Lonchura striata: one gene and its partners. The protein of the gene in region 2 purifies or fractionates together with the protein of the main gene of each other region. This does not show direct contact. Links are inferred from orthologs where the notes say so. Each region holds a gene or a part of one and is shown on either strand. Other genes may lie near its edges.

Evidence for each region.
Region 1: the proteins of KAT8 (region 2) and PHF20 purify together in Homo sapiens (affinity purification with mass spectrometry; 3 studies listed by BioGRID and IntAct, counting the BioPlex papers as one, with this or other methods). This does not show direct contact. The link is inferred for Lonchura striata from reciprocal best matches to the Homo sapiens genes KAT8 and PHF20.
Region 3: the proteins of KAT8 (region 2) and PHF20L1 purify together in Homo sapiens (affinity purification with mass spectrometry; 3 studies listed by BioGRID and IntAct, with this or other methods). This does not show direct contact. The link is inferred for Lonchura striata from reciprocal best matches to the Homo sapiens genes KAT8 and PHF20L1.

The regions. Positions count from the first base shown.
Region 1 is NC_134619.1:14,713,611-14,721,190, forward strand, and holds the start of PHF20 (PHD finger protein 20), read right to left. Parts: upstream 3,086-7,580; 5' UTR 2,962-3,085; intron 816-2,961; exon of another isoform or gene 773-815; intron 144-772; exon of another isoform or gene 63-143; intron 1-62. UniProt on the Homo sapiens protein: Methyllysine-binding protein, component of the MOF histone acetyltransferase protein complex.
Region 2 is NC_134637.1:460,580-468,481, reverse strand, and holds the start of KAT8 (histone acetyltransferase KAT8), read right to left. Parts: upstream 3,022-7,902; coding exon 2,775-3,021; intron 1,790-2,774; coding exon 1,715-1,789; intron 1-1,714.
Region 3 is NC_134603.1:8,857,096-8,864,564, forward strand, and holds the start of PHF20L1 (PHD finger protein 20-like protein 1), read right to left. Parts: upstream 3,054-7,469; 5' UTR 3,011-3,053; coding exon 3,008-3,010; intron 2,615-3,007; exon of another isoform or gene 2,578-2,614; intron 1,594-2,577; coding exon 1,490-1,593; intron 1-1,489.

The DNA of each region.
Region 1 (7,580 bases), on a different chromosome or scaffold from region 2:
AACCCTACCAATAGCACAGTCTTTGCACCACTGATGCACAGGTCTAGGCTAAGGATGCTCACCTCTGCATATGGAGCACAGAGGTGTGGAAGATAGTTTCCTTACTCAACAACACTGTGGAAGAAGAGGATATTCTCCAATTCCTTGGGAAAGAAGTACTGAATTTAAGCAGTAGAAAAGTGAGTCAATTCTGAAACTAGTATTTTAACATTAGCAACAAGATCAGGAAAGCTCTTTCGTGCTAACTTCATATTAAAAAACCCAAAACAACCAAACAAAACCAAACCAAACAATCAAGCCCACAAAACAAACAAAAAAAACCCCCGCACAATAAGCAATCACGCTTTCTCTCTTTTCATTAATACAGGCTACCAAGCTAAAGACACGTTTTCTTTTCTAATCAATTTCCTTTTAACTAAGAACTCAATTTCAGGTAGATTTATGAAAAAATAAGGCTGACTGTAGCTGCCTACACTTAAATAAGGCTGGTTGAAAGTTCTCCAGTCCAGTAAAAAGACACACAGACATGTCAACAAACTAACATGCTTCCGAAATGTGTGCTTATATTCCAACATGCATTATTATCCTCAGCCAGTGACCACAGACACAGTATACACCCATGCATGCATAATCATTTAAGCCTGATGTTTGCAGTCACAAAAATACTGGAATGCCAGTAGTTCTGAAAGGTCTTCAGAAATATATAGGCCATGCAGCTATTGGTATTGGGACAGCAAGGACAAACCAAGAGATCCAAGCCACCATTTTTCACCTGAAGAAAGTATTTTCCTGCAGGAAGTACAAGCAAAACAAACCTGTAGGCAAGCAAAAGTATGAAGTATGAAGACAAGGAATTCATTGAAGCAAAAGAAAGAATGATTTACTCAGACATACAATGAACTCATTAGCACTTCACAAGACTTCTCTGTATGATGCACCAGTCCAAAGGACTGTTCTTTTTACTTAAAAGGTAAATTACCCTACTGTATCTATTCAACTAGACAAATATCAAGAGTACAGTTTTAACACTGTATAGACAACAACTCCTTGTAGGACTGAGCAATAAATCCTTCCCCTGTCCCATGTACATTCTTTAGCTCAGTTCACAATGCAAGTGCTCACATGTGGACAGGACAGTAACACGCAGGCAGGAGAGCTAGTGTCAGCCTGTTGAATTACAGCTACAGACAATACCTATCTTCTGCACATGCAGTTATAAATAAAATGTGCGGTTACAGAGAATTCATCATCCTCTACTATTAAATTAGGGGTTGTGTTTTCCTTTCCTGGCCAAGAGGGAGAATTTAAGTCAATATCATTGCCTGGTCATGCAGAAACTGTAAGGGCAATAACAAGTAGTACAGAGAGCTTTGCCAATTAAAGGTATGAATCAATTACATGCTTTTTACATTTCAGACAAGGTAGGACAGTTAGAGGAATTAATACTCCAGCCTCATTCCCAACTTGACCTTAAAATTACAGGCAGACAGATTTTACTCTCAGCCTGCTCAAGTAAAATTTTATTTCTATTGAGGAAACATCCACGAAGTTGTCAGCAAGAGCGTAAACTACTGAACTACTTCACAAGCTGACTTAGCTCAAAAAACATGCAATCATCTAATTCACGTTCCTTTATTACTATGAAAGTTTAGAAGTCACACAAAAACTAAAAGAGAGGATTATACTATGACTCATCTTTGCTTAAGTCTTTTTGCTTGACTTCTTTTAGAAACTGGTTCTGTGAAAGGATCCTTACTCATTATAGAAAATTAAATGAACCCAGGTCAAAAGCATTAGTTGCAGAGATGGTCCATTACTAACTGCTGTACAGACACTTGCAAAAGGTTAATTCAAGTCACTATTGCTTTAGCATTTCATTTAATTCCCTACTGCATACAACACAACAAAATTCTGTAGCCTAGTGATATTTATTTTACTTAACTTGGACTCATAAAATTTCAGGTATCTCTCCTGACTTATTTTTAAGTATTTAGGGTAGAAACAGCCTGGGTCCACAGAAACATCTTTGATTGTTAGTCAATAAAAGACATAAAACGGTCTGTCAAAACTGTACCTGTTTAGATTAACTAAATCCCGGAATGGCTACAGATTACCAACTGGTACAAAAATCCACTTTGCTGGCAAAAAGCCGTATCTGAACACAGACCTGCTAGGAAGAACACCACAGTGTCTCCTAACCGTACGCAATACACAGGTATGACATGAGGCAGCTTTGGGTTTAGTGAAAATATCCACCGCAATTTCTGTTCTTTTAAATGGTTTAAAGGAACAGAATGCAGCGCGATAAAGAAATGCTCTACATCTAATGGGACAGAAAAGGAACAGAAGCCTCCAGCCTCCAGCCGCCGGTACGGAAGCCACGCGGCACATCAGCAGGGCAAGTACCTGCTCTGCGCGGGTTCCCCACTCCCGGGTCACGCACAGCCGCCTCGCCAAGCACCCCGGAATCCAGACCCGCCGGGCCCTGCTCGCCGCCGCACCCGGCTCGCCGGACACAGCCCCGGACCCGTCAAATCCCCGCCTCGGGCCCCGGCACTGCCCCCGCCCTGCGGCCCGTGCCCCGGCTCGGGCCCCGGTACCGCCGCAAGGTCACTCGGCCGTCCCCGCCGGACGGGCCCGTGGCGACTGCGTTCGGCCCGCACAGACTCACCTGCCCGCGCAGCTCGGCGTGCGCGGGCGGCGAGGGGGAGCCACGGACGGGGGAGCGGCCGAGGCCGGCCCGAGCCGCGGGCCTCAGCGCGCCGGGCCGCAGCGAGGCACGAGCGGCCCCGCTCGGCGCCCCGAGGCGGGAGGCGCCGCCCGGCCCGGCCCGGCCCGGCCCTTTGTGAGCGGTGACGCGCCCGCCCGGCCTCCCTCCCCGCATCTCCCCGCCGAGCCGCGGGCTCGCAGCGCGGGACTGGGCAGGCAGCCCGGCCTGCCCGGGCGCCGCCGCGCTCTTACCGAGGGATCTGTACGGGAAAAAGGGGTTAGAATGGAGCCACCCCGCCCGGGCCCGCGGCGCGCCAAGCCCCGCGCCACCAACCGCAGCCGCACAAAATGGCCGCCGCGATGCGGCGCCGCTGGGGGCGGGGGCCGCGAGAGGCCCGCCCACTCCGGCCAGAGGGCGCGCGCAGGGGGCGGGGCCTGGCGGCCCCGGCGAGAGACCCTGAGGGGAGCGGCCCCGGGCGGGCGGTGCTGCCAGGGGAGCTCGGCCCGCAGCGCGGGGAGCTCGGCCCGCAGCGCGGGGAGCTCGGCCCGCAGCGCGGGGAGCTCGGCCCGCAGCGCGGGGAGCTCGGCCCGCAGCGCGGGGAGCTCGGCCCGCAGCGCGGGGAGCTCGGCCCGCAGCGCGGGGAGCTCGGCCCGCAGCGCGGGGAGCTCGGCCCGCAGCGCGGGGAGCTCGGCCCGCAGCGCGGGGAGCTCGGCCCGCAGCGCGGCGCTGCCATCGTGCTCTGCAGGCAGCCCGAGTGCTGCGGTGGCACGACGGTGAAATACTGGCGAGAGTTGGCGGCCTGACCCCTTGAGGCGGGTGTCGGGATGCGGGCGCTCCTGCACACACTCGCCCGCGGCTGTCGCAGCCACCGCCGGCTAGGCTCGGTTCCCTCCGCTGGTGCCCCATGTGCCGGGAAGCGGGTGGGTGCTTATCCGAGGGGGTCGTCACTGTCCCTCAGTCGTGTTCACCTTCTGGTACAGCCAGAAGACTGGGGTCTGCTGTGAATAACAGAATTATTCAGGGGTAAATTAATTTTGTGAAAAACAACTGTTCACTTTGAAAATTTAAAAGGTATATTAAACCTTAACAGGAATAAAACAAAAGGTCTACATAAGGAAAACTTCACAGCGCTGAGAATAGCCCTCAAGAGTACCACATGGCTGGTTCATCTTCAAGATGGATGCTAGGTCTTTTATACTCCTGGGAGGGGGTTTGCATCAGCCAACCCCGGTCCCTCCCCAAGTCTGTCAGACAGCTTTTCTTTGCCGTTTGATGGCGGAGATTGCTTTCTTGTAACTGGATTGGAGGTCAGGTGTTGCCATGCCGCACCCCCTAAGCAACAAGCTTTTCCATTCCCAGCTGCCTCATGGAACAGGCAGATGTGCACGCCTTCTTTTTACCTGACCTAAACAACCCAGGCTGTCTGATGGCAACATTACAGAGGGGGGAAAAGGGAACTATGGGGAGAACAGAGGACTTCTGTGAAAAACACCAATCACTTGGTTTTTAAAATTTTTAAAGTTTAATACTAATAAAATGGTTATAAAAATAATAATACAATTAGAGTAATAAAGTTTAGAGTTAGGACAATTACAAGACAATAAAAAGCAAAGAATTATGGACATCCGGATGCTCTCAGACACTAAGTCACGAAAAGCATGACTTGTGAACAAAGGAATCACCCTTAAAACAATACACTTGTTGCATATTCATACATCTTTTATGGTTATGCATACATTCTATTCTAAACAAGAAACTCTGTCTGTTGTATGTCAACTGTTCCCTTTAATCCCCTGGCATCTTCAAGTCTGAGCAAGGCCTGAAGAAATTAGCTTCTTCTGATAAGAAGCCATAAATTCCTCTCCTTTGGAAGATTTAGGTGCTCCTCGAAGCAAGTATCTCATTCCTAAAAAGAAAACTCCCCCCCACATACATAGTCTCTATTTTAACATTATGTTGTAACCTAAAACTACACTTAATACGTAAGAGAATTAATACAGCATAACTTTCTAACATTACACATACAATATTCATTGTAACATTTGCTAAAAGCCAATCATAAATATGCTTTTTTCACAACATCTAAACTACAATAACATAACTATACTGCTGCAGTATCTGCCCTGGAAATGTGTGCCTGGCTCAGCTGGACAGCGAGGTCAGCACGGGCCACCTTCCCAAACCTTGGGACGTAAGGACGGCAAATTCCTGAACCCCAGGGAGACCTTGGCGGTGACGACAAAGGCAAGGAGTCGTCTCATGCAGGGGTTTGTAACCCAACTTTATTTGGCAGCTCAGAAGAGCTTCCTAAGTCAGAGGGTAGACAGCCTGCAAGAGCAGCGTGCAGCCTCTCACACAGGTTTATAACAGTGGGTGGTAACCAGAGGATGGCCCTACAGTGGGCCAATGAGATCAAACAGGGCTGCGGAAATCAGGGTGACAAACATGAAAGAACACCAATGGGAAAGGAGGGTAGGAGGAGACCTGGCTGTCAGGCCTATCACTCCACGTCCCACGTGGAACCTTCTAGAAAGAAAGGAAGGGCTGCTGAGTGATGGATGGGTCCAGGGGCGGGCTCTTCAGAAGGGTTACCTTTCAGGGGAGGAGGGAAAGGAGGATTGGCATAGGGATGGGAGGAGGCAAGGGAAGGCAGGACAACTTACATGGGGGTGCAAGACTAAACCACTTCACAAATTGAACAAACTCAATAACACAATGCAACACTATACATCATTAAAGCTTTTCTTAATATTCACACAATAGTCATCCCTTAATTGCGAGAGCAAATCATCTCATTATTCATCTATAACAATTTCATTTTCTTTTTTTGATAGTTTCATGCTGGGTTAAAGCCCAAACCAGATTGACACAGAAGAACAAAAATCTATGTATGCTGTAATTCTTAATGTCAAATATTACAGTGGTTCACTGTGGGTGCACAAATTCTCCCTGGTTCAGGTAGGTTTCCTGGGATAATCCTTGAAATTCTGCTCAGAGGCCACAGACCAGCAGAGGGTTGCTGCCCATCAGGTTTTGTGATTGAAAGAGTAACTGCTGTGGCCAAGGTGTCCACATAGTGCCAGGTGCTTGTGGGCTTTGGAGGAAGACACAACATGGCCCAAGTGCTTTTCCCTTCTGTCTTCCTCCTCCCCCAGCTGTGGGAACTGCTGTTGCTACACAAATCTGGCTGCTTCTTTGACATCAGCCTCAGCCCAGTGTCACAAGCATTGCAGGACCCAGAGAACACACAGGATAGTTTAAACTAGAGTGTCCCCATCACTGTACAGCAGTAGTGCTTTTCTGACAGAGCCTGTGAACTATGTGCTGGGAATCTGTGGAAGCAGAGTGTCCTGCTAAAAATACTGCAACAGGAAGAAAAAAAAAGGTTGAAAATACAGTTTTCAGTCTAGATTTACATTTTAACCTGGAAATCTCAGAAGTGGTCTTAATATGGCAGGTGTCTAGAAGAGAAAAAAAATGCAGAAAAAATTGACATATATGTTGACTATAATTTGTGCCAATGTAACATTGTTATATTTGGTCCATGGAAATATAACTTTATATGTGTAATATTTTGTTGTTGCCAGCACACACGCCAGCACCAAGAGCTACAACCTACCCACCACCCCCCACACATATCTGTTACACCAAAAACCGAAGTCTCATTTACAGTTTAATACTTCTGGCTCGCCTGGAGATGGATTGTTCCTTGGGGCGATACTGGAACACCTAGGCATTGATCATCCCAGTAACGACCCTATATTGGGATCGCTGGAGTCCTCCGGGCTGATACATCTGAAAGCCACGTTCCTGTAACTCCATCAAGGAAAATTGTCCACACCTGGACTTGGATTGTTCAACCTCAACAGAGAGAAAAGAAACTTTATAAACATGTGGGACTTTGAATGGGAAGAAAAGGCAGATTGCTAAAATCCTGGCCTCAGGTGGAAAATTTCCTATAAGAACTGCTTGGTCCAAGAGGGTGGTGTGGGTGTCCAGGGGAACCTCTGCCAAGAGGCGTCCTTCCTGTCATACACCCAGCACCAGTTTGGCACTGTCCTTTTCCCTGTGGCTGGCTCAGAGAGAATTAGATATAAAATAAGATTTTTATTTTTCATTTTTAATTTGGCTGGATCAATTCTTATCTATGTTATGTGTAGAAAACATAATTTGTTCCATTCCTTGTATGAAATATGTAATATTGGATACTTGTTAGATTATACTCGTTTGTACTAGAAGCCCCCCCCCACCCTCGCAGGCAAAATCTGGTGTATGTTGAAACCCGATTTACACGTAAAAGGATGTGGCTCGGCCAGGAGATGGGCCATGTCTGGAAAGATATGGGATGCCCAGGTGCTGATTATCACGTGAACAACCCGAGATGGATATCATGGAAATCCTTGGGCAGATCCATGTGAATGCAGTGTTCCCGTAAATTTCATCAAGGGATTCAACAACTCCAGACACTGAATTGTTCTTCTCATCACCAAAAAAGAAAATCTCATCAACCTATGGACTCTGAATTGAAGAAAAGACTGATTGCCGAAATCTTGGCCTTAGGTGGAATTTTCCCTATAAAAAACCACTTGTGCCAGGATGGAGGTGTGTGGGCATAGGGGAAAACCTCTCCTGAGGCTGACTCCTTGTTGCACACCCAGCATCGATCCCAGGCTCGGCACTGTTTTTTCCATGGCTGGCTAGATAGAATTTGACTGCTAATAAAACTATTTTTATTTTTAATTTGGCTGAATAAATTTCCATTTATTAACAATCTTGGTGACCCCTGAGATGATCCGGTTTGGGGGTATCCAGGGGGTTCCCTATCCTCAATCCGGGCAGCACCCCGCTGAGTTCAGCGGCCAGACGGGAC
Region 2 (7,902 bases):
ACTGGGAGCGCTGGGAGCCCGCCCAGTTCAGCCCAGTTCATCCCAGTTCATCCCATCCATTCCCTACCCATGAAATCCCCATGGTGTGCATTGAACTGGGAGCACTGGGAGCACTGGGAACCATCCCCAGCTGGTTCCGGTCCACCCACTCGTCCAGCCGCCGGTTAACTGGGAGCACTGGGACTTACTGGGAGCACTGGGAGCCTGCCCAGTTCAGCCCAGTTCATCCCATCCATTCCCTACCCATCAAATCCCCATTGGGTGCATTGAACTGGGAGCACTGGGAGCACTGGGAGCCATCCCCAGCCGGTTCCGGTCCACCCACTCGTCCAGCCGCCGGTTAACTGGGAGCACTGGGACTTACTGGGAGCACTGGGAGCCCTCCCAGTTCAGCCCAGTTTGGCCCGTCCATCCCTACCCATCCCACGGCCTTGAAATCCCCCCATACTGGGAGCACTGGGAGCCATCCCCAGACATCCCAGTTAGCCCAGGGCCTTCAAATCCCCCCAGTTTGGGGTTAACTGGGAGCACTGGGACTTACTGGGAGCACTGGGAGCACTGGGAGCCCTCCCAGTTCAGCCCAGTCCCTCCCAGTTCAGCCCATCCATCCCAGAGCCATTAAATCCCCATGGTGTGCATTGAACTGGGAGTACTGGGAGTACTGGGAACCATCCCCAGCCGGTTCCGGTCCACCCACTCGTCCAGCCGCCGGTTAACTGGGAGCACTGGGACTTACTGGGAGCACTGGGAGCCCTCCCAGTTCAGCCCAGGTCATCCCAGTTCAGCCCGTCCATTCCCTACCCAAGAAATCCCCATGGTGTGCATTGAACTGGGAGCACTGGGAGCCATCCCCAGTTGGTTCCGGTCCACCCACTCGTCCAGCCGCCGGTTAACTGGGAGCACTGGGACTTACTGGGAGCACTGGGAGCCCTCCCAGTTCAGCCCAGTTCAGCCCGTCCATCCCAGAGCCATTAAATCCCCATTGGGTGCATTGAACTGGGAGCACTGGGAGCCATCCCAGTTCATCCCAGTGTGTCCCAATCCCCCCAGTATGGGGTTAACTGGGAGCACTGGGCCTTACTGGGAGCACTGGGAGCCCGCCCAGTTCATCCCAGTCCCTCCCAGTTCAGCCCATCCATCCCAGAGCCATTAAATCCCCATGGTGTGCATTGAACTGGGAGCACTGGGAGCCCTCCCAGTTCATCCCAGTCTCTCCCAGTTCCGTCCCAGTAGCTCCCAGTTCCATCCCAGTTCCCTCCCAGTTTGTCCCAGTTCCATTCCAGTGGCTCCCAGTTCAGCCCAGTTTGTCCCAGTCCCTCCCAGTTCCATCCCAGTGCCTCCCAATCCCCTCCCAGTTTGTTCCAGTTCTGTCCCAGTGGCTCCCAGTTCATTCCCAGTCCCTCCCAGTTCCATCCCAGTGGCTCCCAGTTTGTCCCAGTCCCTCCCAGTTCATTCCAGTTCCCTCACAGTGCTTCCAGTCCATTCCCAGTCCCTCCCAGTTCCATCCCAGTGGCTCCCAGTTCATCCCAGTGCCTCCCAGTTTGTTCCAGTCCCATTCCCAATCCCCTTCCAGTCCATCCCAGTTTGTCCCAGTTCATTCCAGCCCCTCCTAGTTCCATCCCAGTCCCTCCCAGTCCCATCCCAGTCCCTCCCAGTCCATCCCAGCCCCCTCCCAGTGCCTCCCAGTTTGTCCCAGTTTGCCCAGTTCACTCACAGCCCACGTAGTGCACGTAGAACTCCTCGCGCGCCTCCTGCTCGTTCAGGCGGGACTGGATCACCTCGGCCGAGTCTGGAACAAACTGGGATGAACTGGGATGAACTGGGAGGGACTGGGACAAACTGGGAATGGGACTGGATCACCTCGGCCGAGTCTGGAACGAACTGGGATGAACTGGGAGGGACTGGGACAGACTGGGAATGGGGCTGGAACAAACTGGAATTAACTGGGAGGGACTGGGAAGGACTGGGACAGACTGGGAATGGGCCTGGAACAAACTGGGATTAACTGGGAGGGACTGGGACAGACTGGGAATGGGCCTGGAACAAACTGGGATTAACTGGGAGGGACTGGGACAAACTGGGAATGGGGCTGGAACAAACTGGGAGGGACTGGGACAAACTGGAACAAACTTCCCCTCCTTTCCATTCCCAACACTCCCAATATAAACCAGTACAACCCAGTATAACCCAGTATAATGCAGTACAACCCAGTACACCCCAGTATAAACCAGTACAACCCAGTATAACCCAGTATAATGGAGTACAACCCAGTATAACCCAGTACATCCCGGTTCAAACCAGTACACCCCAGTACAACCCAGTATAACCCAGTACACCCCAATATAAACCAGCACAAACCAGTACACCCCAGTACAACCCAGTATAACCCAGTACACCCCAGTACAAACCAGTACACCCCAGTATAACCCAGTACACCCCAGTATAACCCAGTACAAACCAGTACACCCCAGTATAACCCAGTACACCCCAGTATAACCCAGTACAAACCAGTACACCCCAGTATAACCCAGTACACCCCAGTACAAACCAGTAGGACCCAGTACACCCCATTCCCCCCGTTCCCCCCCAGTACACCCCAGTACAAACCAGTACACCCCAGTACAAACCAGTACACCCCAGTACAAACCAGTACACCCCAGTATAACCCAGTACACCCCAGTATACCCCAGTATAACCCAGTACACCCCAGTACAAACCAGTATAACCCAGTACACCCCAGTACAAACCAGTACACCCCAGTACCCCCCACTCACGCCAGCTGCCGTCCGCCCTGCGGCACAGGTACGTCTCCCCGATCTCCACCGCCACCTCCGCGTCCCGCGCCGCTCCCGCCGGGCCCCTCCCGCCTCCGCCGCCGCTCCCGGCCCCGCTCCCGGCCCCGCTCCCGGCCCCGCTCCCGGAGCCGCCCCCGGGACCCTCCGGGGCCGCTCGGGGCCCGCCCGGGGCCGGCCCGGAGCCGCCCGGAGCCTCCGGGAGCGGGCCCGGCCCGGCCGCCGCCATCTTGGGGAGAGCCGGAAGTGAGGGCCGGAAGTGAGAGCCGGAAGTGAGGCGTTGCCAGGGGACAGAAAAGGCGGGAAAACGGTTGCTAGGGAGACCGAAAAGGGCGGGAAAACGGCTGCGGGGAGAAAAAAAACAACCCAATTTTTAGGTAAAAAAACCCCCTTTTTACGCCAAAATTCCCTTTTTTACCCCAAAGTTCAATTTTTTCCACCTGAAAATTCCCAATTTCCTCCCAAAATTCCCATTTTTTCCCCCAGAAATTCCCATTTTTCTCCTCAAATTCCCAATTGCTATGGAGACCAAAAAAGGCGGGAAAACAGCTGAGGAGAAAAAAAATCCCAATTTTCAGGTAAAAAATTCCCTTTTTTACCCCAAAATTCCCTTTTTTACCCCAAAATTCCAATTTTTTCACCTCAAAATTCCCAATTTTCCCCCAAAACTCCATTTTTTCACCTCAAAATTCCCAATTTCCTCCCAAAATTCCAATCTGCCCCCAAAATTCCAATTTTTTACCTCAAAATTCCCATTTTTCTCCCCAAATTCCCAATTGCTATGGAGACCAAAAAAGGCAGGAAACAGCTGTGAGGAGGAAAAAAATCCCAATCTCCAGGTAAAAAATTCCCTTTTTTACCCCAAAGTTCAATTTTTTCACCTCAAAATTCCCAATTTCACCCAAAACTCCAAATTTCCTCCCAAAATTCCCATTTTTTCCCCCAGAAATTCCCATTTTTCTCCTCAAATTCCCAATTGCTAGGGAGACCAAAAAAGGCGGGAAAACAGCTGAGGAGAAAAAAAATCCCAATTTTCAGGTAAAAAATTCCCTTTTTTACCCCAAAATTCCCTTTTTTACCCCAAAGTTCAATTTTTTCACCTGAAAATTCCCAATTTCCTCCCAAAATTCCCATTTTTTCCCCCAGAAATTCTCATTTTTCTCCTCAAATTCCCAATTGCTATGGAGACCAAAAAAGGCGGGAAAACAGCTGAGGAGAAAAAAAATCCCAATTTTCAGGTAAAAAATTCCCTTTTTTACGCCAAAATTCCCTTTTTTACACCAAAGTTCCAATTTTTTTCACCTCAAAATTCCCAATTTCCCCCCAAAACTCCATTTTTTCCCCCAAAATTCTCATTTTTCTCCCCAAATTCCCAATTGCTAGGGAGACCAAAAAAGGCGGGAAAACAGCTGAGGAGAAAAAAAATCCCAATTTTCAGGTAAAAAATTTCCTTTTTTACCCCAAAATTCCCTTTTTTACCCCAAAGTTCCAATTTTTTCACCTCAAAATTCCCAATTTCCCCCCAAAACTCCATTTTTTTTTACCTCAAAGTTCCCATTTTTCTCCCCAGATTCCTAATTGCTATGGAGACCGAAAAGGGCGGGAAACTGCTGTGGGGAGAAAAAAAACCCCCAATTTTCAGGTAAAAAATTTCCTTTTTTACCCCAAAATTCCAATTTTTTCACCCCAAAATTCCCAATTTCCCCTCAAAATTCCAATTTCCCCCCAAAACTCCAAATTTTTACCTCAAAATTCCCATTTTTTCCCCCAAAATTCCCATTTTTCTCCCCAGATTCCCAATTGCTAGGGAGACCAAAAAAGGCGGGAAAACAGCTGAGGAGAAAAAAAATCCCAATTTTCAGGTAAAAAATTCCCTTTTTTACCCCAAAGTTCAAATTTTTCACCTCAAAATTCCAATCTGCCCTCAAAATTCCAATTTTTTACCTCAAAGTTCCCATTTTTCTCCCCAAATTCCCAATTGCTATGGAGACCGAAAAGGGCGGGAAAACGGCTGTGGGGAGAAAAAAATCCCAATTTTCAGGTAAAAAATTTCCTTTTTTACCCCAAAATTCCAATTGTTTCACCCCAAAATTCCCAATTTCCCCTCAAAATTCCAATTTCCCCCCAAAACTCCAAATTTTTACCTCAAAATTCCCATTTTTTCCCCCAAAATTCCCATTTTTCTCCCCAGATTCCCAATTGCTAGGGAGACCAAAAAAGGCGGGAAAACAGCTGAGGAGAAAAAAAATCCCAATTTTCAGGTAAAAAATTCCGTTTTTTACCCCAAAGTTCAAATTTTTCACCTCAAAATTCCCAATTTCACCCCAAAATTCCAATTTTTTACCTCAAAATTCCCATTTTTCTCCCCAAATTCCCAATTGCTATGGAGACCAAAAAAGGCAGGAAACAGCTGTGAGGAGGAAAAAAATCCCAATCTCCAGGTAAAAAATTCCCTTTTTTACCCCAAAGTTCAATTTTTTCACCTCAAAATTCCCAATTTCACCCAAAACTCCAAATTTCCTCCCAAAATTCCCATTTTTTCCCCCAGAAATTCCCATTTTTCTCCTCAAATTCCCAATTGCTAGGGAGACCAAAAAAGGCGGGAAAACAGCTGAGGAGAAAAAAAATCCCAATTTTCAGGTAAAAAATTCCCTTTTTTACCCCAAAATTCCCTTTTTTACCCCAAAGTTCAATTTTTTCACCTGAAAATTCCCAATTTCCTCCCAAAATTCCCATTTTTTCCCCCAGAAATTCTCATTTTTCTCCTCAAATTCCCAATTGCTATGGAGACCAAAAAAGGCGGGAAAACAGCTGAGGAGAAAAAAAATCCCAATTTTCAGGTAAAAAATTCCCTTTTTTACGCCAAAATTCCCTTTTTTACACCAAAGTTCCAATTTTTTTCACCTCAAAATTCCCAATTTCCCCCCAAAACTCCATTTTTTCCCCCAAAATTCTCATTTTTCTCCCCAAATTCCCAATTGCTAGGGAGACCAAAAAAGGCGGGAAAACAGCTGAGGAGAAAAAAAATCCCAATTTTCAGGTAAAAAATTCCCTTTTTTACCCCAAAATTTCCTTTTTTACCCCAAAGTTCAATTTTTTCCACCTGAAAATTCCCAATTTCCTCCCAAAATTCCCATTTTTTTCCCCAGAAATTCTCATTTTTCTCCTCAAATTCCCAATTGCTAGGGAGACCAAAAAAGGCGGGAAACAGCTGAGAGGAGGAAAAAAAAAAAAATCCCAATTTTCAGGTAAAAAATTCCCTTTTTTATCCCAAAATTCCAATTTTTTCACCTCAAAATTCCCAATTTCCCCCCACAATTCCAATCTCCCCCCAAAATTCTAATTTTTTACCTCAAAATTCCCATTTTTCTCCCCAGATTCCCAATTGCTATGCAGACCGAAAAGGGCGGGAAACTGCTGTGGGGAGAAAAAAAACCCCAATTTTCAGGTAAAAAATTTCCTTTTTTACCCCAAAATTCCAATTTTTTCACCTCAAAATTCCCGATTTCCTCCCAAAATTCCAATTTTTTACCTCAAAATTCCCATTTTTCTCCCCAAATTCCCAATTGCTATGGAGACCAAAAAAGGCAGGAAACAGCTGTGAGGAGGAAAAAAATCCCAATCTCCAGGTAAAAAATTCCCTTTTTTACCCCAAAGTTCAATTTTTTCACCTCAAAATTCCCAATTTCACCCAAAACTCCAATTTTTTACCTCAAAATTCCCATTTTTTACCCCAAAATTCCCATTTTTCTCCCTAGATTCCCAATTACCGTGGAGACGGAAAAGGGCGGGAAAACAGCTGTGAGGAGACAAATTCCCAATTTTCAGGTAAAAAATTCCCTTTTTTACCCCAAAATTCCCAATTTCCCCCCAAAATACCATTTTTCTCCCCAAATTCCCAATTGCTATGGAGACCAAAAAGGGCGGGAAACAGCTGTGAGGAGAAAAACGTCCAATTTTCAGGTAAAAAATTCCCTTTTTTTACCCCAAAGTTCAATTTTTTCACCTCAAAATTCCCAATTTCCACCCAAAACTCCAATTTTTTACCTCAAAATACCATTTTTTCCCCAAAAAATTCCCATTTTTCTCCCCAAATTCCCAATTGCTATGGAGACCGAAAAGGGCGGGAAACGGTTGTGAGGAGACAAATTCCCAATTATCAGGTAAAAAATTCCCTTTTTTACCCCAAAGTTCAATTTTTTCACCTCAAAATTCCCAAATTTTGCCCCAAATTCCCAATTTCCCCCCAAAATTCCCATTTTTCTCCCCAAATTCCCAATTGCCGTGGAGACCGACAAGAGCGGGAAATGGCTCTGAGGAGACAAATCCCCAATTTTCAGGTAAAAAATTCCCTTTTTTACCCCAAAATTCAATTTTTTCACCTCAAAATTCCCAATTTTCCCCCCAAATTCACAATTTACCCCAAAAATTCACTTTTCGCCCCCAAAATTCCAATTTTTAACCTCAGAATTCCCATTTTCCCCCCAAAATTCAGATTTTTCCCCCAAAATACCATTTCCCCCCCAAATTCCCATTTTCACCTCAAAATTCCCAACTTTTTCTGCCAAATTCCCAATTTTTACATCAAAATTCCATTTTTTGTGCCAAATTACCATTTTTTCCCCAAAAAACTACAGGTTTTTGCACGAAATTCCCCATGTTTTCCCCCAAATTTCCCACTTTTTCCCCAAAAATTCCATTCCCCCCCCTAAATTCCGAATTGCGAGGAGACGGGAACGGGCGGGAAAAGGGAAAATTCCCAATTTTTGGGGCAAAAATTCCCAATTTTTGGGTCGAAAATTCCAAATTTTCGGGTTGAAAATTCCCTTTTTTACCTCAAAATTCCCAATTTTTAGCCCTAAATTCCCAAATTTTACCCCGAAATTCCCAATTTTTCGCCTCAAAATTCACATATTGCTCCCCCAAATTCCCGATTTTTTTACCACGCCCACTCCCAGCCAACCACACGCAATTAAGAATAAAACTTTTAATTATGAATATGCAAATGAGGGGCGGGACAGAAGTGTTTGTAGGTGTGGTCAGAGATTTAGGCCACGCCTATTTGTTAATTAACCACGCCCATTTCCACCAAGCCACGCCCATTTCCATA
Region 3 (7,469 bases), on a different chromosome or scaffold from region 2:
TTTACATGTATTTAAACTTGACCTGGGTCTACCTGGTGGTACAGATAATAAATCCAATCCTAGAAAGTTCAGGATAAATTCTATTCTTCCTGAAAACACCCAGCAACTCAGCTGCAGAGCTTGTGACATGGCCATGCCTGACAATCCAAACCTACACAAGAGCTTCAGCACTGACATGCAACCCTTCCCTGGAAAAAGCTGGGCAGGTTTGACACAAATTATACACTGAACAGTCAGTGATACTTTTTTGATACTATTATGCTACTTTTACATATTAATTTTTGTTACCTGATTACATAAGCAACTATCTCTAGTCACAGAAGATGCTGTAAAAAGTTTTATTGCTCTATTTTGGACGTTTTCCTTATCCTGCCACTCAGTTATAGAATCAGCATGCTGAAAACCCAGTCTACAGCAACAGGTAAGAACAATAGTTCTATAAACCACATCTTTCAGAGTCCATTTATTAAGACAAACACTCTTCCTATAATTAAAATCAAAGCTCTACAAATAAAAAGTTTGACCCAACTTTTTATACAGAGCACATAACACTGGAGCAGAGACATCAATAATACACAGACTTCTCTCTCACATCACTTGGAGTTAACAGGATCAGATATTTACAGGAACATGCTGAGCTCTCCAGGAACACAACAGAAAAAAAGATACACACCTCTACACTTCCTAACCCTAATAAATCAGAGAGCAGCTAAGAAAAAACTTCTAAGTAGAAGCATCAACTACTTCTGTCACCTACTTTAAAATGAGGGATTTTTCAAATTCAACTAGCATAGCCAGGACACATCATCAAATTAGCCCACTTGCTTTAATAAAATTTATACTAGCAATTTTTTTCATCAGAACAGCTCCTTTCACAATACACATGCTGTGCAGCACAGACCTTGTGTCCACAATTCCTATTTTATAGTCTTTGAATTCACAATACACCTGGGTGGTTGCAGTCACAGTTTTAAGCACTTCATTTCTCCAGCTGTTTAATAAAAACACAACTGTATCTGCCTATCCCATGAACTCCAATTCAGGATGTGGGTTTGTTTTTTTTTTTTTTAGAATCAGTTTTGTAAACCTGTCAAGTGTGACAACTGAATACAAAACAACTCCCCTTGCATGCCTTCAAATGAAGACAAAAGAAGTCTTTGATCATGAAGTTTGCCTCATTGACACACCAATCACCTCGTCCATGACACTGAATTCCACAGACTCCAGAAAGGCTCTTTGCTTCTTACACCTGCACAAGCCACTAAGAGCAAATAAACACAAACCCGTAGAAAAGTTTAGCTTGATTTCTGAAGAGATAATATTTTCCTAAAAGCTAACACTTTTAAAGGACATAGGTGGAAATTCATAAAGTTCACATGTAGAAATTGTCAATGAATAGGTGCACTGGTTTTTATAATCGGTTATCAAAGCACACAAACGACACAAAATAATTATGCTCTCAGCAAATACTACACAATGCCTTCCGTACCATTTTTGCAAATAGTCCAGTGCCTCCAAACGAGCACCAATCTCAAATGTGATTCCAGGACGATTTGGAGGCTTTTTACTCATCTTGATATTCTTTTTCACCACCTTTGAAGGAGGGAAAAAAAATAGCATTAAAACACATCATGTTGTTTAAAAGGTGTCATAGACAGCAAATATATTCCAGAGGGTGTAAAGATGCAAAATTTTGATCCTGAGTTTGTATTAACTACTTACCTTACAGAAATACAGTCAGGGAAAAAAAAAAAAAAAAAGGCATCAAAAAACATTCATACATACTTTTATTCAGATTTCTTTCCCTTCAAAACTATATGTTATCAACCTTAAGTCAAAACATAATAAGAAAAAAACCATAGTGCTCATCTCTGAAACTATACTAGCATGTAATTCCTTCACATCATTTTTAAGCCAAATTTTAATTTACCTATAGTTAATATGTGTGCTGTCTTCCGGTGAAGAAAACGCAAACCAAGAAAAACGTACCTTACCAAGAACAGATAAACATGGCCTAAAGGGCAAGTAAGATGAAATTAGCATAAATAGAAACAAACAAAACCCCATCTTGAGTATTTCTATGCACTCTGGAGTCGCACTCACAGCAATGAGTTTCAGCCACAACTGGCTTCTAATTTTATTTTGTAGCCCAGTCACTATAAAAAAAAAAAAAACCAAAAAAAACCAACTCTTTGTGCAAGTACCGTGGCGGAGCTCCCTGTGCCAGCCCAGGCGCACTTGCCGAGCGGGAGTGCCGGGACGCGGGGTCGGAGCCTCCCAGCCCCGCACTGCGGGGGGAGCGGCACCCAGGGGCTCCTCCGGGAGCGCGGAGACGCCAAGGGCGCAGCGCAGCCGGCCCGGGAGCGGCGGGCCGGGAGCGGCGGGGCCGCAGCGCTCCGCGCTCCGGGGGAGGCCCCGCCGGACCCCCGGCCGCGGGCGGGGCCCGGCGCCAGCACAGCCGCGGGCGCCGCCCGCCAGGCCCGGCCGGCTTGCGGGAGCGCCGGCGCCTCGTAGCCCGCGCTCCCTCCGCATTCCCTCCGCATTCCCTCCGCGCCTCCCCCGCGCCGCCGCCCTTACCGCCCGCTCGGCTCGCTCGGGGCCCGGCGCGGCTGCCGCGGGCGCTCCGGCACGGCCGCCCCTCACCGCCCCATCCTGCCCGCGCCCCGCGCGCGTCACCGCCGCGCGACGGCCCCGCCCCCGGCACGTGACTGCGCGGGGCGGGGGAGCCAGACAAAGAGCGGCGGCCGCGGCCGGGGACGGCGGCAGCGGGACACGGGGACAGCGGCACCGCCTCGCCACCGGCACACACGGCACACACGGCACACACGGCACACACGGCACACACGGCACACACGGCCTCGCCACCGGCACACACCGCCTCACACCGGGCACGCACCGCCTCGCCACCGGCACACCGCCTCACACCGGGCACGCACCGCCTTACACCGGGCACGCACCGCCTCACACCGGGCACGCACCGCCTCACACCGGGCACGCACCGCCTCACCATCGGCACACACCGCCTCGCCACCGGCACACACCGCCTCAGCCCCGGCACACACCGCACTCATCGCCTCACCACCGGCACGCACCGCCTCACATCTCCTCGCCACCGACACCGACGCCTCAGCCCCGGCAGATACCGCCAGCCCCGCCGCACAAATAGCGGGGAGCGAAGGGGCTTGTCCAGCGGGGGGAAAGGAAGGTGTTTAATTAAAGCACCGGAGCATTTCTCGTACTGACAAGGGCTGAGGGAGTTGCAGCTCTTCAGCCCCACAAGAGGCGGCGGAGAGGGGACCTCGTCCGGGAGTTTCTGCAGGGAGGTGTCCAGAGGATGGATCACGCTCTGCTCGGTGGTGCCAAGTACGAGGACGAGAGGGAAGGGACAGAAACTGATACACAGGGAGTTTCAGCCGAATAGGAAGAACTTCTGTGTGCAGTGACCCTAGCCTGAAATACTGCCTAAAGAGATGTGGAGTCTCTCCCCTGATTCAAGTGGACACAATCCTGTGCAATGCGTGCTAGAATGGCCCTGCTTGAGCAAGGAGGTTGGACCGAATGACCCACTGCTGTCCCTTTCCTACCTGACCAGTTCTGTGACTCTGGGATCTGTAATTCTGTGATAGGGAGAAAAAGACTCAGGGCAGTCACTGAGATGGTCCTGGAGGTGCCACAGGACAGTCCTGGCCAGGCAGCAGCCTCACAGTGGCCTGTCTTTGCCTCTTGTTTTTTACCCATGAAACCAGCTTCATCTGATTTTCTTGCTTTTAATCATCCCAGCCTCCCCACCATGCTGCTGAGAGCTGGGTGGGTGCTTGGCAGCTGGTGAAACAGCCCACTGCTGTCCCTGTGACACCCAGTCTTGTGGTGACTGCTGTGCTGCTTATCACTGTGTTCTGCTCTGCCTGAAAGACCTATGATAAAGGCAATGACCATGAGCCAAGTCTGGCATTTAGCCCCTGCATTGCTGCCATCCCAGTGCTCAGGGAACAATTTCATGGAGTCTTTCCTTTTCTTCTCCAGGACAGATGTTCCCAAGCTTGTAATGGCAAGATCAGCATCATCACATCACCATGGATGTGATCAGTAAAACAAATGTCAAGTTTCCACCAATTAATAAAAAGGCATAGTGTATTTCTGGAAACTGCACATTCTGGATCATAGTCAGCTTGTGACTCCTTTCCATTAAGTGACCTTTAAGAGCTTTTTTCAGTGTATTGAGTTTGTGTGGCAAGACCTTAGTAGTGGGGAGTTTCTGCGAGGAGCTGCCAGAGGCTTCCCCAATGTCCACCAGAGCCAAAGCCAACTGAGATCCACCAGTGGCCAGTGCTCAGGCCATCAGTGACAGTGTTTTACCTCTGATGGTAACTGGTGAGTGATCCTTAGGAATGACCTCTCCTCTTGCCCTAGAAACCTTTTGTTACATTTACTCTCCCCTGTCCATTTGGGAAGGGCAGTGACAGAGTAGCTTTGGGGGGCACCTGGTGTCCAGACAAGGTCACTAAACAGCAGCAGGACAGACAGGACAGTTTGTATGGTAGCCCTGGGACCTGTCCAGAGAGTACCAGCTGTGAGAAACATGCTCTGTTCTCACGTGGAACCTCTGGCAGAAAACCTGTAAAGATCCAAGGTTGACCTCTAGGGTTCTGCAGCTGAGGGTGTCAAGGGTCTGAGATGTACCAGATGTTCACAGGACGGGGCACCTCTACACATAATGCAACTGAAGGTTCATGGAATAAGGAGGTGGGACTGATCACACAGTGGGCTCAGATGAGGACTCCCACTGCCCTTGAATGCTGAAAGAGGTCACCATTGAGCCAGGAGGCAGAGATTTCAGAGCATCATCTGAGGAGGTGGCTCAAGCCCAAAAGTATAATAAATAGCAGAAAGTGAAAGGCAATATGCTCAGTTTACTAATGTTTCCTGTTGCACTGTGCAAAACCATCTGATGTGGAAAGCTACTGGTTGGAGCACAAGTCAAGGGCCAAATTAATTCATTTGATTTGTATGGATGTTTGGGGGATGCCCCACAGACTAAGGGAGCAACATCTGTGCACGTGTCACTGGACAAGGACGGGGATAATGACTGATGGTGATGTTGATAACACACCAGGGTGGTGGATGCTGCTGAATAACATTTCCACAGTGTCAGGGCTCACTATTTTTTTTCCCACTCATCTTCCCCAGTAAGTAGGTAAGGGGTGGGCAAGAGACTGGGAGGGACAGAACTAGCACAGTTGACCTAAACTGGCCAAAGGTATATTCCATACCATAAAACATGGACCTCAGCAAGAAAATCTGGGACAGAAGAAGAATAAGACTGGTGGGACATTTTCTTCCAAGGTGACCACTGCTGGGAGATGGAGTGGTATAGGTCTGCTGGTGGGAAGTGCTTAGTGCTTGCCTTTGAATTGCTTGGAGGTTTTTTGGGTTAGGTTGTTTGGTTTAGGGGTTTTTGCTTTCGTTTATTAAACTGCATTTATTATTAGATCATGCAGATCTGCAAACATTTCTGGGGTGCTGGTTGACAGTGACTGAACACAAGCCAGCAGTGTGCCAAGGAGATCAATGGCATCCTGGTTTGTATCAGAAATAGTGTGGCCAGCAGGACTAGGGAATTAGATTGTCCCTCTGTACTTGGCACTGGTGAGACTGTATCTTGAATCCTATGCTTAGTTTTGGGGGCCCCTCACTGCAAGAATACACTGAGCTGCTGGAATGTGTCCAGAGAGTGGCAGTGGAGCTGGGGAAGGGTCTGGAGCACAGACCCTTCTGATGTCTGAAATCAGATGAACAGCAGCTGAGGGAGCTGGGGGTGTTCAGCCTGGAGAAAAGGAGGCTCAGGGAGGACCTCATCACTCTCTACAACTCCCTGAGAGGAGACTGTAGCCAGGTGGGGTTGGTCTTCTCCCCTAGGCAACAAGTGATGGGACTTGGAAAAGGCCTCGAGGTGTGCCAGGGGATGTTTAGATTGGATATTAGGAAAACATTCTTTACAGAAAGAGTGGTCAGGCATTGGAACAGGCTGCACAGGGAAGTGGTGGAATCACCAGTCTTCAAAGTGTTCAAAAACACGTGGATGTGGCAGTGGGGGTCATGGGTGAGTGGTGAACAGAATGGTGCTGGGTTAATGTTGGACCCAATTGTCTCAGAGTACTTTTTCAACCTCAATGAATCTATGATTCTCACTTTTGTTTTTCCCATTCTCTCTTCCCTACGCCACTGCTGGGGGAGTGAGCGAGTGGCTGTGTGGGCGTTTGGCTGCTGTTCAAGGTCAATCCATCTGCTTCATTTAGTCCCCAGGAGGCTGCCTCCCACTTGAGGAGTCTTTATAGACAGACTGTTCAGTAGAATATTTTAGATTATTTGCTAAGATATTTTTTTTTTCTCCCTAGATTTTCCCTTGTTACCATTTTCTGGAAGGTGGTGACAAACAGAAGAGACTGAAGAAAGAAGGAGGCTTGAAGAAAAACAAAGGAAACAAAATAAGAAAACAAAGAAGGGAAGGAAAGGGAAAGGAAATAAGTTTTATTTCTTTTTTTTTTAGTAAAATTGCCATTGCATTCATTTGAATTCTCCATCTCATACTACTCTTGGTGTAGTTTTGATGCAATTTTTGATTTAAAGGATTTGGTACAGGATAGTGAAGGTTGTTGTGTAAGGAACGAGCTCTCTTTTAGCAGCAATGAATAAGCAGCATTAAGATAATTAGAAAAGTGGAGGTTCTTCTGTCCAAGGAGAGGGAATGGGGGAAGATAAGAGGCCATGAGGATGGAGCTGGGTACATGGGTACACTGAATGATGCTCTTGACCACTGAAGGCTGAGTAATGCCATGGTGAGGGATGGGCTCAGAGCAGTGTGTGGCACCCTTAGCATCACCTCGCTGCAGAGGCTGTTGAGAGGGAGGCAAAGCTGGCAGGAGGTGGCAGAGGCACAGCAAGCCCTTTGTATTGATTAATATGTACTAAAAGCACATCTGTGCACACAAAAGAGCACAGGAGGACAAACCCAGGAGCAACCAGCCCATCAAAGGCCCATTTCCTCAAGCTCAGAGGAGCACAGGGACACAGGGCGGTGGGAGCCAAATTAAAGACTTAGAGGAAGGGACACCTGATGCAAGGTTCCATGTGTGACTCCTACCACACTTCAGAACAGCAGAAGTCCACTTGTGGTCCAGCAGCACATGGCATTATTGTCAAAACAATTATGAAAATAAGGAGCCCCAGGCACTGTCCCCATTTCTTTGCTGCCATTTCATGTATACCCATCCCTGCCCTGCTGTAGCCCACAGGCACCCACCACCCCTGTTGGCCCTGATTTGCCTATCCCAGTGCCTCCCTAGCTCTGCCCATGGCCCAGGACCCTGTTTCAGCTACACTATTCCACCATAAAGCCAGCAAGGAGCAATTTAGGTCAAGACATTTTTTATATTCTTTTAGCACAAAATCATATCTGATATTTAGTTTTG